Linked DNA regions of Caenorhabditis elegans. The protein of the gene in region 2 purifies or fractionates together with the protein of the main gene of each other region. This does not show direct contact. Each region holds a gene or a part of one and is shown on either strand. Other genes may lie near its edges.

Region 1 (6,159 bases), on a different chromosome or scaffold from region 2:
CCAAGCAACACCATACTTAACACTCTCACTGACACCCACATTTTTTTCATTTTCAATCGCTCCCTGTTACCCAAAATATATTCAGCACTGCAATTCAACACTCTTTTCATTTCAGATCTTCAAGAGCTCTCCTATTCGAAATTGGTGACACTATGCGCGGAAATGGAGCAGCTGATTCGGGTTTATAATGAGAGTTTGGTCGATGAGCTGGCACATCGGTTGGTTTTCGGGAAATTTTGGAACTAAAACTGGAATTCGGTTTTTTTGTTTCAGAGATGAGCTGGACTACGAAAAAGAGATGAAAAACTCGTTTATTTCACTATTACTGGCGATTCAAAACAAGCGACGAGTTTACGCTAATGATCGGAAACGGAAGGTCGGAAAGGCGTCGGATGCTTCACAATTGCCACAATATTTGACAGCGACAATTCCGTACAACGATCATCAACATATCGATAATGCGTCGATTGCGTCTCTAATCAAAAGTGAGAAGATGAAAAGAGATATAAATAAATATCTAATTGACAAAGAATATCAGCTGTGTGTTGATTGATTAGTGAGAAAAAGAAGAGATATTTGCATAAGAGATACAGAATTTTAATATGTTTTTCTCGGGATTATGTCCCCTTGTTAGAAGTGGAATAGGGTCGGTGGGGATTTTTAAAGGATTTTCCATGAAAATCAAGACTTTTTTTTCGGTTTTTCGTTTCTCCGATTTTTCGAAAAACAAAAATAGCCCCCAATTTAGCTAATTTTTCATATTTTTAAAAGAAAATTATATGTTTTTCCTCATCACCATAAAAAAAAATTGATTTTAAAAATTGAATTTTATTCTTAATTTTCGAATTTTTTTTCTCGATTTTTTGTACCTGAAATTAATCGAAAAAATTTTTAATTTCGCGAATTTGCGTCAAAAATATTGTACAAAAAATACTGTCTCGAGACGAAAATTGTTGTTAAATGCGAAAAGGTGAGGATTACTGTAGTTTCAAACATTTTAATCGCGATTGTTTAAAGTTGTTCTCAAGATTTTGCTAAATTGTTTTATTTATATAGTTATGGAGTAAAAAAAAAAGATGAAAAATCGAAAAAACCTGAAGCTACAGTAATCTTTAAAGGCGCACGCCTGTTTGTATTTAACAAAAATTGTCGTGCCGAGACCTGGTACCGTATAATTGTGCTAATTTCGCGTCTGGGTAATATTGCAAAATGGAAATTGAGAAACCGGAAAATTTTAAAATAAATTCTCTCTCAATATCCCTTTGAAAAACCGGAAAAAAGTTATAAACAAATTTAAACAAAATCTGCTAACTTTTTGCCAAAATTTCTCAAAAATTGAACAAAAAGTCATTGAAAATTGAAAATAAATGGTTTTTTTCAGTTCTCCGCGCAATCCACGATGACAATACGACAGTACCCACCCTGCTGACAGACTACATTTTAACACATGTCTGTCCAAAAAATATATCGTGTTAGCCATTGCCACCCTTCGCCATTCCATACTAGTCATTTTCCCCCATCTACTTGTTCTTCTTCTTCTTTCTATTCTACAATTTAAAAGTTTTCCGTTCTGTTTTTGAAAATTGTGTGATACAGCTTTAAAAAAAAATAGTCCAAAAAAAATCGTATTCTCTCTCTCCACAGCTGCTTTCCAAAAAACCCCCTTCTCTTTCCTTTCCATGTTAATTCAAAAAGCTTCTTGACTCTCTGAAAACCCAATGAATGACACAAATTCTAGTTGTGCCCCCCTCCCAATTGCACCTGCCAACAAAAAGTCCATACTCAAATTCTCTACAATCCCGGAATCTCTCTCTCTCTCTACTGATGATCATTAATGTTTTTGCTTGTGCTTCTTTTCTTGTTCTTATTTCGTTTTTTTCTACAAACACAGTCATATAAAATTATGTGCATTTTTTATTAGAAAATTTTCTTCATTCAGTTGTTTTAGGGCTTTTAGGCTTCTTAAAATCATCCAGATTCCGGAATCGTATCCGCTCGGTGCCATGGATCGTGGATGTCACCAGTTTCCGACGCGGTGTATCAATGATTTCCGAAGAAGCATCCGTCCCAATATCGCTTCTAGCGTGTGCATAAATTGTGTCAGGAATGTCATTCGGTCGCCACCAAATTGCCTCCGATCTGCAAGAATTCGAATAGTTAATTATAGAGTTGGTGGGGGCTAAAGGACCGATTGACGAGCATCAGAAGGCCACTGTAGGCGATCATTTCGGCATTGTCTGTGCAAAGGGACAAGAGGACTTTGATGGTTGTGACATTGTGAGCAGCTGATAGTTTTGAGATTGCTGAAATATTAAAGTTTTAGCTTTTTCTGATACTTCTATTAAAAAAAAACCTCCAAAAATGTACTGATTCGCCGCCACTCCGCCGCCGATCACCAGCTGTTTTGGAAGTTTTTCCTGCTCGGAGAGACTTTCGAAGAAGATGTGAAGTTTGCTCGAGATATGTCGGGCTACGGTGTTCTGAAATAATTTTTTATAGAAAAAAAAACGTTCGTCGAAACTGTCGAAACTCCTAATAAATGCTCTAATAATGTCGATTTAGGAAAAGTAAGAGTTATTTTTGAAACAAATAATTTAACCGTTTTTTTTTTAACCAGAATTTGGATTTTTTTAATTAAAAAAAAAGGATTTTTTGATTTATTTTTAAGAAAAATCTTTTTTTTTTGGTTTTTTGAAAATATGAGATTTTTGGTTCGTTTTATTGCAAAAACGATTTTTTGGAAACATCGATTTTCCGTTTTTTTAGATAAATTATTTTTTTCGGATTTATTTTTTGAAACACTAATTTTTTGAGATTCTCTGATAGTTTTAGTGAAAAAATTACAGAGACAGAAATTATAGAAAATAACTCAAAAAACATTGAAAAGTATTCAAAAGGCTTGAACAATGATTTTAAAAAATCGAAAAAAAGTTTTTTTTTCAATTTTTTATAGGCTTTAATTTTTTGATTTTTTTGGTGGTTTCTGTATAATTTAAAGATTTTTTTCTGATAGAAAACTGCATTTTAGAATAAGTTTTTTTTTTTTTGGAAAAAGCGTCAAAAACAATTTCGAAGTCTCTTCTTGGTTCTTCACACACCTGAAGGCTAGCACAAAAATCTGGAATATCAATTGATGTTTCAGAGTTTTTTCTCAATCTTTCCAGCAAATTCAGATAGGATCCTTTGATTTGATCGAAGTTCATATTAGCTTTTGGAACGTTTGGAAGAAATATGGGATATCTCAAATGGCCATCAGCAGAGGCTCTAGAGGCTAGAATTTCCACCGCAGCGCCCACATGAATCCCATCGAATTCTGATCCAAGATCTCCAAGCTGCCGCGCAACTTTGTCAATGCACTCGCCCGGGCTTCCACTGACACTTTGGCCTGAAAATTTTGAAAAATTTATAGTATTTTATGTTTTGAGAGAAGTTTAAAAATAAAATTTCGTGCCATGTAGCGACAATGAGTAATAAGTTTTTTTTTCAAATATTTCAATCCTCATACCGTACAATTTGAATTTCTCGACATCTTCTGCAACAGAAATCAATGCATGACCACCCGAAAGAAGAACTGCTGAAAATGGAAATCGCACTGAATCATCGACGAGAAGAATTGACAGAGCATGGGCTCTCATATGATGAACTGGAATCAGTGGAAGACGATGTTTTCTGAACAGGAAAAATCAATATTCGAAAATTTTAAATATTCATAGTATCATACTTTGCAAATCCAATCGCCGCTGAAATTCCCTCTTTAAGTGCAATAACTAATCCAGGCGTTACTGTAACCGCTACTGCATCCAGATCTTTCGGTGATGTTCCAGCGTCGTTCAGACACTTTTCTATAAGCCTTGGAAGGTTCTCACGGTGCTGGAAATATTTCATTTCAAGTAAATTCTGAAGAAGAATCCTACTTGAAGTGCGCAGACTGAAGGATTAATCCCGCCTTGTTGTCTCTGAATCGCCCGTTCTGTGTACCGCTCTGAAGATAAAATCTCTCGTTTCTCGTTGACAATTGCTACTGCAGTATCGTCACAACTGAAAATTTAATGATTTTAATTTTTTGAACTCTATTGCTTATATATTCCTTACCTTGTTTCAATTCCTAGCACTTTAACGGAGTAATTTCGACAAAAAATTCGCTTTAAAACTAAATTGTTGTTCAGAATTTTCGGAATATTCATTTTAGATGGAGAAATTGAATAAAAAACCTTAATAAAAAATATTCTCTGCAATTGTCTAGGAGGAGTACACGGTTGTCGGATTCTAGGCCGCATGCGCAGAAGTTAGGCCATTCGGCGTTAAAACCGTAACCACGAAGAAGATTTAAATAAATCTCATCAATAAATTGACTTGAGAATATAGCAATGAAACATTGACAATATTTCCATAAATAAATACATCCTCTTCCACAACTTTTCGACTTGTGCTCACGTTTTGCTCACTTCCAGTCTACACTTTCGCTTATCTTATCATCTGGAAAACGCTGCACAGACAATTTGCGCTCTGCAATTCATTTAGCTCTAGGTATCTGCTGCTATTTTACGACAATGACCTCAAAAATCAATAAAATTGTAAACGGGCCTATTCCTGATTCATTTTTATTCGACGAGTCGAAAAGATTGGATTCTCTGAAGTTTGATGGAACCAATTTGGAAGTCCTTGGTAAGTTCAGAAATATCATCTTATAAAGCATAGTTCTAGTAAAATAAAATCCAGATCAACTCCTACTTCCACATGAATTCAAGTACATCCCGGTTGAAGGTGTCTCTGACGCTTTTGCAGTTATAAAATCAATGCAAGTACGCGGAGCTCCACTTATTGCAGTTGTCGGAAGTCTCGGACTGCTCCTGGAAATCCAAAAGGCTTCTGAGCTTGATTCTGAAAGTATTATTCAGAAAATTAATTTTTTGATAAGCTCAAGACCAACTGCAGTTGATTTGAGAAATTCTTTGAACGGCTTGAAACCAATTTTAGAGTCTCAAGACTATTCGGATGTGGTTAAGCTTGAGAAGTGAGTTTTAAATTTCAAAAATAATTCCAAATAATCGCAATTAATTCTCCAACAGATGCCGCAGTTATCTTCTCAACGTGTATACGGATGAAAAGCTTCAAAATAGAATTCTCGTCTGGAACGCTTATCAAGAGCTTCTCTCGGCATTCCCTGACAAGGAGAAGCTTACGGTAATGACGATCTGCAACACAGGAAGCTTGGCTACAATATCCTGGGGTACTGCTCTCGGAGTCATTCGGGCTCTTCATTCTGAAAACCGTCTGAAATTGGTTTACGTTTTGGAGACGAGACCCTATAATCAAGGAATTAGGTTGACTTCCATAGAGCTTCTTCATGGTGAGGTGCCGTTCAAGGTAATGCTAAATACTGATTATCTTTTAAAAATCCAGATTTTCTAGCTGATCACTGATTCAATGGCAGCATGGGCAATGAAGAATCACCAGGTGGATTGTGTGCTCACCGGAGCCGATAATGTTGCAAGAAACGGCGATACGGCTAACAAAATCGGAACCTATATGCTTGCTGTCCTCTGCAAACATCACAACATCAACTTCTATCCGGTTGTTCCATTCACGACGATCAATAAGAATATTGCAACCGGGGAGGAGATTAAAATTGAAGAACGACCATCTGCAGAGATGCTTCGAGTAAATGGAGTTTTAATCGGAAATTCTGAATGTCCGGTTTGGAATCCAGCATTTGATGTCACGCCGGCGCATCTCATCACGAAAATTTTGACGGATTTCGGAAACTGGCCGCCTGAAATGCTCGAGCAGCAGATTCCTAAATAATTTTGTTTGTTTTTGAACAGAATCTGTTGAATTTATGAAAATATTATCACTAAATTTAGAACACAAACACAGATTGATATAAAATAAATAAATTGAGAAAGCGGTTTAGAAGATCGGAGAACATCAAAAACAGGAGATTTGCAATTTTTCATTTTTTCACATTCGCTGGCTGAATCCGAAAGTACGACCAATGCTTGAAAGGTAGTAACGATCGAGTCCTTGTTGAGTTTCTTCAGCGAGATGAGTTGGAACATCTTTAGCGATGATTTTGATATCCGTTCCAGATCCCTAGAATTTATTATAATAGAAGGTTTATCCTCGTTTGTTCTAAAACTTACAGTATCTTTCAACTGG
Region 2 (9,636 bases):
ATAATTGAAAACAAATTAATAATGTGTTATAAAAATAAATTATTTGCTGGTTTCTGATAGCTTCCGTCAACATGCAAGGTGTACATGACTATAAAGAGTTTTCAATTCATACTCATCCATCTTCAAATCGTGCAGTTGGAATATTTTTAGATGAGTAATTAATTGAGATCAATTCAGAAATAAAATAGAGTCGCCTAGCTTGATAAATTGCTTACTAATAGTAAGCACGGCAAACTTTTTATGCCAAAAACAGAATTCTAGGAAATTGTTCGAAAGTTTGCTGATGTAAATTGAAACTTTTGTAATACACTGGTACTGATTATTTTCGAGAACTAAAATTCAAAAAAAAAAGTTTATTGAGAACATAATCTGAAAGAAAAAATACATTGCAAACTATGACGGCTTTTAGGTTCCTTTTTGTGAAACAACGCTATGATCTACAGCATTCTTCGAATATTGCTTATTTGATAAAGAAACTGAAATTTTTGAAATTTTACAAACAAAGATTCACAGAAAAAATACATGGTTTGCAATGAAACATGAAACATTTTTTACATTTTTTCACAAATATAGTGTGATACCAAAGCAACGACAAGTTTTAGTTATAGGTGAAGTACGTCCAGTGGAAAAATATTTTAAAAAACCATTCCTATGGTATTCAAATAGCCAAACATGCATAATAAAACTTTTCCAAATTTTTGGCAACATTTTTTATTTCAAGTTAGATAGCGGTGAAATGTTTATATATCTGTGGAAATCGCTAATAAAAAAAACGTATTTTTCTTCCAGTTTGAATTATGTTCCAAACTCTTATATTTTAGCAATGTTGGGGTTCAAACATGCGCCAGTGCTTTAGATATTTCGAGAAGTGGCGCAAACTCCGTTTTCGCCATTTTTTGACTTAAAATAAAAATTCTCCAATTTTTGTTCTGAAAAGTTGTACCATGATACTTCCGCACTCCGCCTTTAATTAAACGGAAAAATTCAATGTTTTATAACTTTACAAAATTTATCCTCAAAATCACAATGAATGAAACATTTTCCGAGTTTCATTTTGAATTATTTATTTTATTGTAACAAAACGTGCATTTTAATAACCCTCTTTGCTCCGAAGATGATGGAAAATGTGTTCCCGTCGTTTGAAATAATAAAGTCATTGAACGAAAAACGTTTACCTCTGCTTATTCCCTTCAAAAAATTTTCTTCGGAAATTTCCTCCAAATTTCCTGTTTTCCACTACTGCTGTGTTATCGTAAAGTTAATATCGAGTTAACATTAGTTGGTACTTACAAAAGCAATAAATGGTTCGGTTCATTGTGAATGTGGCTTCTTTGTCGTTTTCTTGTGGAAAATTGCTTTCCTTCTTTTAGGAGTCTCCGACTGCACAATGACTTTACAGGAAATTATTTTTCGGCCCGGTTTTTTTTGTCTTGCAAAGCTTCTAAAAACCTGGAGCTAAAAGTGTTTCGTTGGATTTAGTTAGAACGAGTCAAAATGAGTATGTGTAAAAGAGATGAACAGACTACGTTGCGGAATTTTTTTTTTGAAGACGCGTACGAGCCTGACTTCCGTCCCCTCTTGAATTTCGTTGGTGCTTTGTGGTTTGTAGTAAGTGCATCAGAGACACGCCAATAAAAGCGAAGAGTGCTCTAAAATGACATGGAGTACCTTTACCTCCGTGCTGGATTGAATTACACTTGAGAATTGGAAGAGAGCACAACTACATCTGGTTCCTAATCACAAGCGTGCTTTTTCAAATGCACTTTATTTGCAGGTGCCCTCCCCGTGAGTTATGAAATTCAACAGCAGCGCGAGTTGCAATCTTTCAGAGAGCACATTTTCTTGAGATCTCCCTCGGGAAGACTAGGCAACGCCCGTCTCAAATGAAGCTTTAGATGAGATGACGTATAGTGTGTTGCCAAGTGAGTTTTCACTTTTTAAAATAAAATTGAAGCATGGAAAAAAATAAATGGACCAGATAAAATTTGATTCGGTTTTGTCCAAAAAACTGCAGAAACATTTCTGAAATTCTAGGCGTGAGAGAGAGAGAGTACACAGTAATGAATAATTCAACATTCTCAGTATATGGGGTGAAATTTGAGTAAATATTTGAAACACTACTTTGGGATCTTGACTTCTACAAATTTTGAATGGAATACCTCGAGAATTTATTTGTGATACTGAATGAATGTAGGTACTTTCAAGGTAAACCTGCACCAAATATGTTTATCATTTTTAAAATTCAACGTAATTTTTTAGTTTTAGTATTAGTGTTTTCTTAACCTGAGAATGCAAATCAATTTCCCATTTTGATTAAATTATCAGGTGAGTGGAAATTGAAAAAAATTTCTGAGACAGGTACCAAAAAAACTGAATCCCTGTATTTGGAAGATAGATCACTCCTTTTCTGAAAGATCTTGTGTTTTCGCGTCAGAAATATTTACAATCATTAACTCGTCTTTCCATTAATATTCATGAGTACTCAACTTTATTACTACCCAATACATCACTTCCAAAAACTTGGTCTCTAGCTATAAAAAGTGCGAAGTATGAAGAAAATGAAAAAAGGAAAGGAAAGACGCACTTCTCTAAGAAAAAAACTCAATTAAGCAACCTGGACTTGTCACTGAGAACAAGGACAAGAGCAAGAACAAGTATCGAAATAGAATGTTTGTACGTACGTTAATCGTGAATTCTCTTAGTGTGTGGCGTACCCCTTGGGAGAAATGTTTTCAAGTCCAGTGTTCACTACTATAAGCTTCCCCCCGTTTTCCTATTGCCCAATGTCTCCTAGCCTCCTCAGTCGGCGCCAAAGTGGGCGGAGCGCATTGGCGGCGCTGCCTGCGCGCGCTTCGGACACGACCGTCGTCGGGCGAAGCACACAGAGAGCAACTCCTCGGGTTTTGGTGAATCAGTCGGTCGCCGCCGCCGTCGTCGTTTTTGGCAGAGCATATTATTGGTGTGGAGCACACAATGTCCTAACTCTCATGGCAATATGATGCGCAAGCTACTCGTCATCTGCCTTCTGACGGTCTATGCCCAAGGGGGTCAGATTCCTGTGCCTCCCATATTTTCACCATGCAACTTCCCATCTCCGATCACCGAACCTAGTTTTGTGAGTTCAACTTTTTCATGTTTTATTTTTTTATTTGCTGAACTTTAAAATCTCCCCTCAACTTTTAAGAACCAAAAAAGCTTTAGCTTCAAATTTCCAATTTCTTTTCTAGAAAAACTGAGGTAGGAAGAATGAGAAAAAAGGAAAAATAATTAGCATTGTTCGTTCTGAAAATGCAAAAATAAGATAAATTATACATTCCCTCTGTTTTGCCCTAGGAGGGGTAGCCTTCGTTCCATGTGCCCCACAAATCACTCAAGCGTTCGTAAACCTTGCAATTAGAAACCCAATTATTTTTTGCTGCTCAGTATTGCTTTATTGTTTATATATATATATATATATTTTTTCTGCGCCGTATCCTACTTTTTTCCACTATACTTCTCCTCCTTTCTCCTTTTTCTATATACTTTGCGAAAAGTTGAACGGCCCTCCAAAACTCGTCGAGGAAGAAGGATGAGAAAGGAAAGCCGCGTGGAAAAGACGAAGACGTCGTGCTTTTTTTTTCTATTTGCATATTGAGCATTTGCTCATCCTTATGAAACCAATCAAGTGAAAGACAATCGTTGTTTTTTTTGTGTCCGTAGTCTTAGATTTACTCTGGCGATATCCGGAAGAATGACGAATTTCGAGTTTTTTTTTCAGAGATTTAATTGTGCACTAGAGGGAGGAAACCCCATAGTTTCGAACTTTTGACTTGTGATTCAAAATTTGACACTCAAATTTTAAAGTCAAGACCTACCCGGTGAACTGCGTGAACGACATTAGTCATTCTTGTGGTCTCCTTTGGAAACCACAAGGTGAACAACATCGTCTCGCCGCCCCGTAAACGCAATTTGTGAAAGCCGAAAAACTCAAACTCCTTTTCTCTTTTGTATTGAAAACCACAAATAGAAGAAAAGGAAATTCCTCGGCGACAACAAAAAAGAAATTGTGTCCCCCCTCCCTGCCTTTCTTCTGCTTATGCTTCCTTCCAGGTTGCTCAAGGACCCTCGTTTATTGTGTCGCAAAAAGTTCACAATTTTTTTTTGAAGGACTGAGGAGCCGAAAAACTTTGTGAAAAGAAGAGTTTGATCTGAAATCAACAATTGTCAAAATTGTCAAAAACATTTTGCAAACTCCCTAAACTTCTTGAGATTTATAGAAAAAACCTGAAATGTATTTTTAGCATAGGAGTAATTTTGATTCTCCTCCAAATTGTCAGCTCATCTCTGTAGACCAAAAAAAAAAGTTATGCAGACAAAAAGGCACGCGACTCAAAAAAAATGATATATACATACACATGTATTTATTTGACGTCTTCCATCATATTTTATTGTGAAAAGGAAAGAAACGACCACCACATCCATTTTAGTTGATGCGAGCCATGTGAAACACTTGTCAAGCATATATTCATGAAAAAAGTCACTACGTACTCAAAACCCGACAGAATATGTTATGCATATGTGAGGAAGGTCACGGGGGTGAAATTGTAAATTTCTACTACATATTAAGAACGTTACAAAGCAAATAAATTTGCAGTAGTAAGTTACAACAGTGACCTTTGGAAAAATTATTCAATTTTCCGTATTTTCCCTATTAAAATCGCAACGGGGCTCTTTTTTATCGGCCTATGCCGCGGTTAATTTTCACGGTATTAAAATGAGTACCGTCACTAATTTTAAGGTCCTTTTTGAATGCAGCACTATTAGAGACTGCAGTACTGATTTTCAAAAACCTCTTTTCAGTTGTAGATCACTAGCTCTCAGTCACAAAAACTCATATTTTAGGCCTGAATTTAATATTTAATTTTTTAAATTCATTTTGTGAATTAACAAAGAATCATTAAAACATGTTCAGAAAAAGTTTCCAAAATGTCGAAACTAATGAGGTTTCACAAAAAAAAATTGCAATAAAAAAAGGGTTGCCGCATGAATTGAAAATATACGGTATCTACAAGACTATAGGAAAATAAATTGGAATTTATTTTCTCAGATGACAAAGGACAAATCTATATTTGATTCAACAGTTCGCGAATTTTTAATTTTGATTTCAAAAATTAAATATATATTCTGTTTCTGCAACTCATTCAAATCTACCTAATTTCAGCACCGATCGGTTTGCTACACAATTCCTCGACTTCCGTTTGTGTGCGATCTTCATCACCAACTGGCTTACACAAATGTTTATGGAATTGAAAAAGCTTATAATAAGTATAAACAATTCTTTTTTTTCAATCTTAACACCCAATTTTCAGGTATCGATCACTCTTCACAAACGGCAATACTTCAACACTTGCCGTCATAATCAGTTGAGAAATACACCTGCCTCTCTCTTGTCCAACGAAATTATATTTTTTCCAGCAAAACAACTGGAGCAGCCTGCTTCTGCAAATGATGTCATGAAAAAAACCGAGTACGCTTGTCTCTTTGATAACGAATGCGACCAGATTGACGGGGACATGGTGACTGGAATTGTCGGAAATGTGCGGAAGTTCCTACGGGTAGGTCGGTGTGGTCGGAGGTTTCAAAAAGTATACGTTTTTAGCGGGAGGGGGGAGGGGGTTAGTCCAAAGTTGAGCTTGCAAAGTGGGGACAGGAAGGGGAACTGAATCATTATGAGCCAATTTTCTATCACGTTTTCCACATTGCACGCAAGTATCGCTCTTTTTTTGGGTGAAGTGGTTGCAGTGCGCAAAGTGGGCACATCTTCAACACGTGCTAGAAATGATGAATCTTGAGTTGAGGGACTCTCAGAATGTAGCAAAACGTTTTCTGAGAAAAATACTTCCTGCGTGAGATACAAAAACGAAATTGAATGCAGTGCTAAACGGTTTCCAATAAAATCTATTTTTGAAGAATGGAGTTCACAAAATAAAAATATTCAGATATCTCAGTAAATCCCCATGTATAGACTTAATGTATAGATTCAAAATGTGCTCAAATGAACTAACTTCGTTATAAAACTTTTTTTTTTAATTTATAATTTTTTCTGACGGTTAAAGATTTAAAAAAAAAATCAGCTAATTTTAGATGCAATCTTAAATTTTGCAAACTTTTTTGTGGCACCTAGATGTGATAAAGATTGCACATTGAATTTCATAAGATTTTATTTTTATTAACTGTATAATTCGGTCTTTATATATTAATTTAGGTAAATTTTAAGGATTATAATAAAATAAACATTAATTTCCGACAGCTGTGACATGGGAAATTTTGCAAAATTTAGGGTTTCAGCTAGCATTAGCACAATTGTTTGAAAACATTTTTAACCGTTTTGAAAAGTTTTTGGGAAGCTTTTGATAAGTCTCATATTGATATTTGATTTGTTTAGAAAAACTTGTTATTTAAAATATAGCAACACTTTTAAAATATAGCAACACTTTTAAAATATAGCAACAATTTAGTTCTCCTTCAACGGCAAATTTACAGATCAATTTTATGAGGAAAAATATTTTGGTGAAATAGCATTGCAGTTATTCTAATCGAAAAAATACGGTATGGCAAATTATTGCGGACTGGTTTTAAAAAAAGCTTCAATGATAATAAGATGCAGAAGCTGTGATATTCGTGTGTACTTGGCTGAAATCAAAAATTGTATATTTCAGGTTTATTCGTGGAAAGTATATGAGCGATGGTTTGGTGTCGGAGAATCTTGCACCAAGACAAATTTGCTAGCGGTAAGTGATGCCATTCTATCCATTCACTCCTTCCAAATATGTTTTCCAGCTTGTTGTAATCGATGGAGTTGTGAATGACGCCAGAAAAATTCCATACGTGAGATTGCACACAGGTACATTTCAAACTCGAGCAAAACTCAAAACTTATGACTTCGATCAACTCAATTATTCCAGGCTCACATCGTCTTCGAATGTTACTTCCAAACATACAAAGTGAAGTCAACAATGCGTTGGTGCAAGGTACGCGCATAACTGAATGCTAACCAGAAACGGTGTATTGTTTAAGGCTGGCCACTAGCAAAGGTTATCGAGGATCTGGTGGATGATGTGGGATATGCACTGAAAGATTATTACGAGCTGAACGGTGAACAGAGAGATCATTCCGTTCCAATGTAAGTTATTGGAGCTGATTCTTGGTTGTGAAGGGGATATGGTTTGGGAAAACAGCCTTGGAATAGTGTAGGTATGGTATCGGTGTGGTATCGGTGTGGTATCGGTGTGGTATAGGTATGGCAAAGGTATGTTATAGGTATGGCAAAGGTATGTTATAGGTATGGCAAAGGTATGTTATAGGTATGGTATAGGTATGGTATAGGTATGGTATAGGTATGGTATAGGTATGGTATAGGTATGGTATAGGTATGGTATAGGTATGGTATAGGTATGGTATAGGTATGGTATAGGTATGGTATAGGTATGGTATAGGTATGGTATAGGTATGGAAAATATATTTTCAATCATTTCAGGTGGGCACGAAACCTATTTCTGGTCTGCTTGGCACTTGTCATCACTGCTCTTCTTGTCGAGTGGTACGTGGTGAGAAGGAAAATCGGAGTGCAAAAAAGTGGATCCATTAAGATTGCGTCAGGAAAGAGCAAAACACATCTCATGTTCTAATGTTCGTAGTGTCATATCTGAAACTTTTGTACATTTATTTTTATGTAATTGTTTTCAATCTCTCTCATTCGGGTTTACGGTGATTTTTTTTTTCAAATTTTCACTGCTAGAGTCAACGATCAATAATAGTTGACTGTTTAACTTGTATTTCTTATTTTTTTAAGGTTTATTTTTTCAACAAAATAAAGTGAAGAATATTTTCCAAATTTGAAAAGTTTGAATAATAAAAATAAAATCGTCTTTGTTTATATAAACAAAACTTAATATATTCGGTGCCTATTTTGAGCTGACTAATCTTCTATATAAAGGGGCCTAGCTCCATTGGGGAATTTTTCTGGGGATTTTCTCAAAATTCACTTATATGATTCCAAAGCGGCCGAATATCATAATAAACCACTCACATTTTTAGTCAACGTTTTGGCAAGTTACCATCATTTTTGAATGTCGTATGGAATGTTTTAACAGAAAAAAAACCAAATTAAAATTAAAATATGAAAATCGTAGAAAGTTTTTTTTGTTGATTTCCAAAATCATAAGGGACAAAAACTGGGTAATTGCTACACTTCGTTAATAAATAAAACATTTCTAATTTTTTTGAAAAGTTGTTCTATGATATGATATTTGGTTATTTTAGCACCATAGGAGTAGTATTAAACCTTTAAACATTTATTCACCACTTATCAAAAACAAACAATGTTGTTTTTATTTTTCACCTAGTCTCTATAATTCCTACTTTTACGCAAAGAATCAAAACATCTCTAGACTCTTATCTTTCCCACTTTTCCTCTTCATGCTCGAAGAAAAGACACTACATAAAATTGATAATGATAAAATATTGAATCAATGTTTATTGTTCATCAATTCCACTGTTTTTTCTCATTTATTAGCATAAAATGTTACTACTTTCCCGGCTGCAACTACGGTAAGCGGTATCCAGCCGATGTTTTCAATACTGCATTTGAATACACGTGCACGGATAACGCTCATTGTTTTTCGCATGCCAATTTCACAAATGGAAAGTGAGTTTTCGAAATGCAATAATATTTTAAATATTTCGTTTGAAAAGATTTTTATGTTAAGATAGCATGCAAAAGCTTATGGTAAAACCACACATATCTAGTGGATTTCTTTAACATTGAGAGATGTATTGAGGATATTTTCTCTCACGTGAATATTTTATATTCCCTCATAATTCTGAACAAAAGCCACGAACTCAACGTCTACTGCCGCTATATATTTGAAAAACGTGCTTTTCAGTTTAGTTTTCAAGTTTTTCATAGTTTTTTAAAGATAAAGTACGGTCAGTGGGGAAATAATCGATGTTAAAATAATTATGTATCATAACAAAACACTTCAAAAAAGTTTTTCAATTTGTTTCAAAAAGTGTTAACTACTGCTTGTCATTGTTTTGGAAGTCATCTCTCAAAATTTTTTTTTTGATTTTTATGGTCTATTTATGTTTCTAAAAATAAATATTCAGAACAGGGTAAGCGGCAAACTGGGCAAATGGGCAAATTGCCGGTTTGCCGATTTGCCGGAAGATGTTTGCTTACTTCTCAAAATAGATGAAGGAACATTCACAGGATGCGTACAATTTTGCCGCTTAAAATTGAAATTCCGAAATTTCTAAAAAAAAATGTGCGAGACCACAACTTTCCGAAAGTATTCGGCAATTCCGGCAATTTTCCGACTTGTCGGAAATTTCAATTCCGGCAATTTGCCAATTAGCTAGAAAAATCGTTTGCCACCCACCCCTGATTCTAACACTGTGTGAATTCGAACATTCGATATTGCTAAATTTTTGTAAAAAACTGCCAAAAACTGAAGATTTGCCAATTTCTTACTCTCAACGAAAACGATACGAAAATTTTTTGAAAATTTTTACTATGATTTATTTTTGCTCCTTTTGGCACTACTACTCCGTTTCAAATTTTCTGTAAAGTGGTTTTTTTTTAACTTTTCTAACTTG

The links. The genes of interacting proteins can lie anywhere in the genome.
Region 1: the proteins of AH9.6 (region 2) and C01G10.10 fractionate together in Caenorhabditis elegans (co-fractionation; one large-scale study listed by BioGRID). This does not show direct contact.

The regions. Positions count from the first base shown.
Region 1 is NC_003283.11:15,078,237-15,084,395, forward strand, and holds C01G10.10 (putative tRNA N6-adenosine threonylcarbamoyltransferase, mitochondrial), read right to left. Parts: upstream 4,206-6,159; 5' UTR 4,185-4,205; coding exon 4,093-4,184; intron 4,039-4,092; coding exon 3,915-4,038; intron 3,871-3,914; coding exon 3,722-3,870; intron 3,670-3,721; coding exon 3,506-3,669; intron 3,386-3,505; coding exon 3,099-3,385; intron 2,481-3,098; coding exon 2,354-2,480; intron 2,304-2,353; coding exon 2,189-2,303; intron 2,140-2,188; coding exon 1,932-2,139; 3' UTR 1,898-1,931; downstream 1-1,897. Other genes in the region: UNC-76, read left to right, coding at 116-218, 274-485, 1,382-1,476; C01G10.9 (Methylthioribose-1-phosphate isomerase), read left to right, coding at 4,551-4,665, 4,720-5,014, 5,070-5,367, 5,413-5,805; ahsa-1 (Activator of Hsp90 ATPase AHSA1-like N-terminal domain-containing protein), read right to left, coding at 5,962-6,093, 6,144-6,159. UniProt on the Caenorhabditis elegans protein: Required for the formation of a threonylcarbamoyl group on adenosine at position 37 (t(6)A37) in mitochondrial tRNAs that read codons beginning with adenine.
Region 2 is NC_003284.9:2,261,405-2,271,040, reverse strand, and holds AH9.6 (uncharacterized protein), read left to right. Parts: upstream 1-2,902; 5' UTR 2,903-2,995; coding exon 2,996-3,115; intron 3,116-5,200; coding exon 5,201-5,304; intron 5,305-5,348; coding exon 5,349-5,401; intron 5,402-5,454; coding exon 5,455-5,594; intron 5,595-6,698; coding exon 6,699-6,770; intron 6,771-6,819; coding exon 6,820-6,883; intron 6,884-6,944; coding exon 6,945-7,010; intron 7,011-7,056; coding exon 7,057-7,162; intron 7,163-7,516; coding exon 7,517-7,667; 3' UTR 7,668-7,875; downstream 7,876-9,636.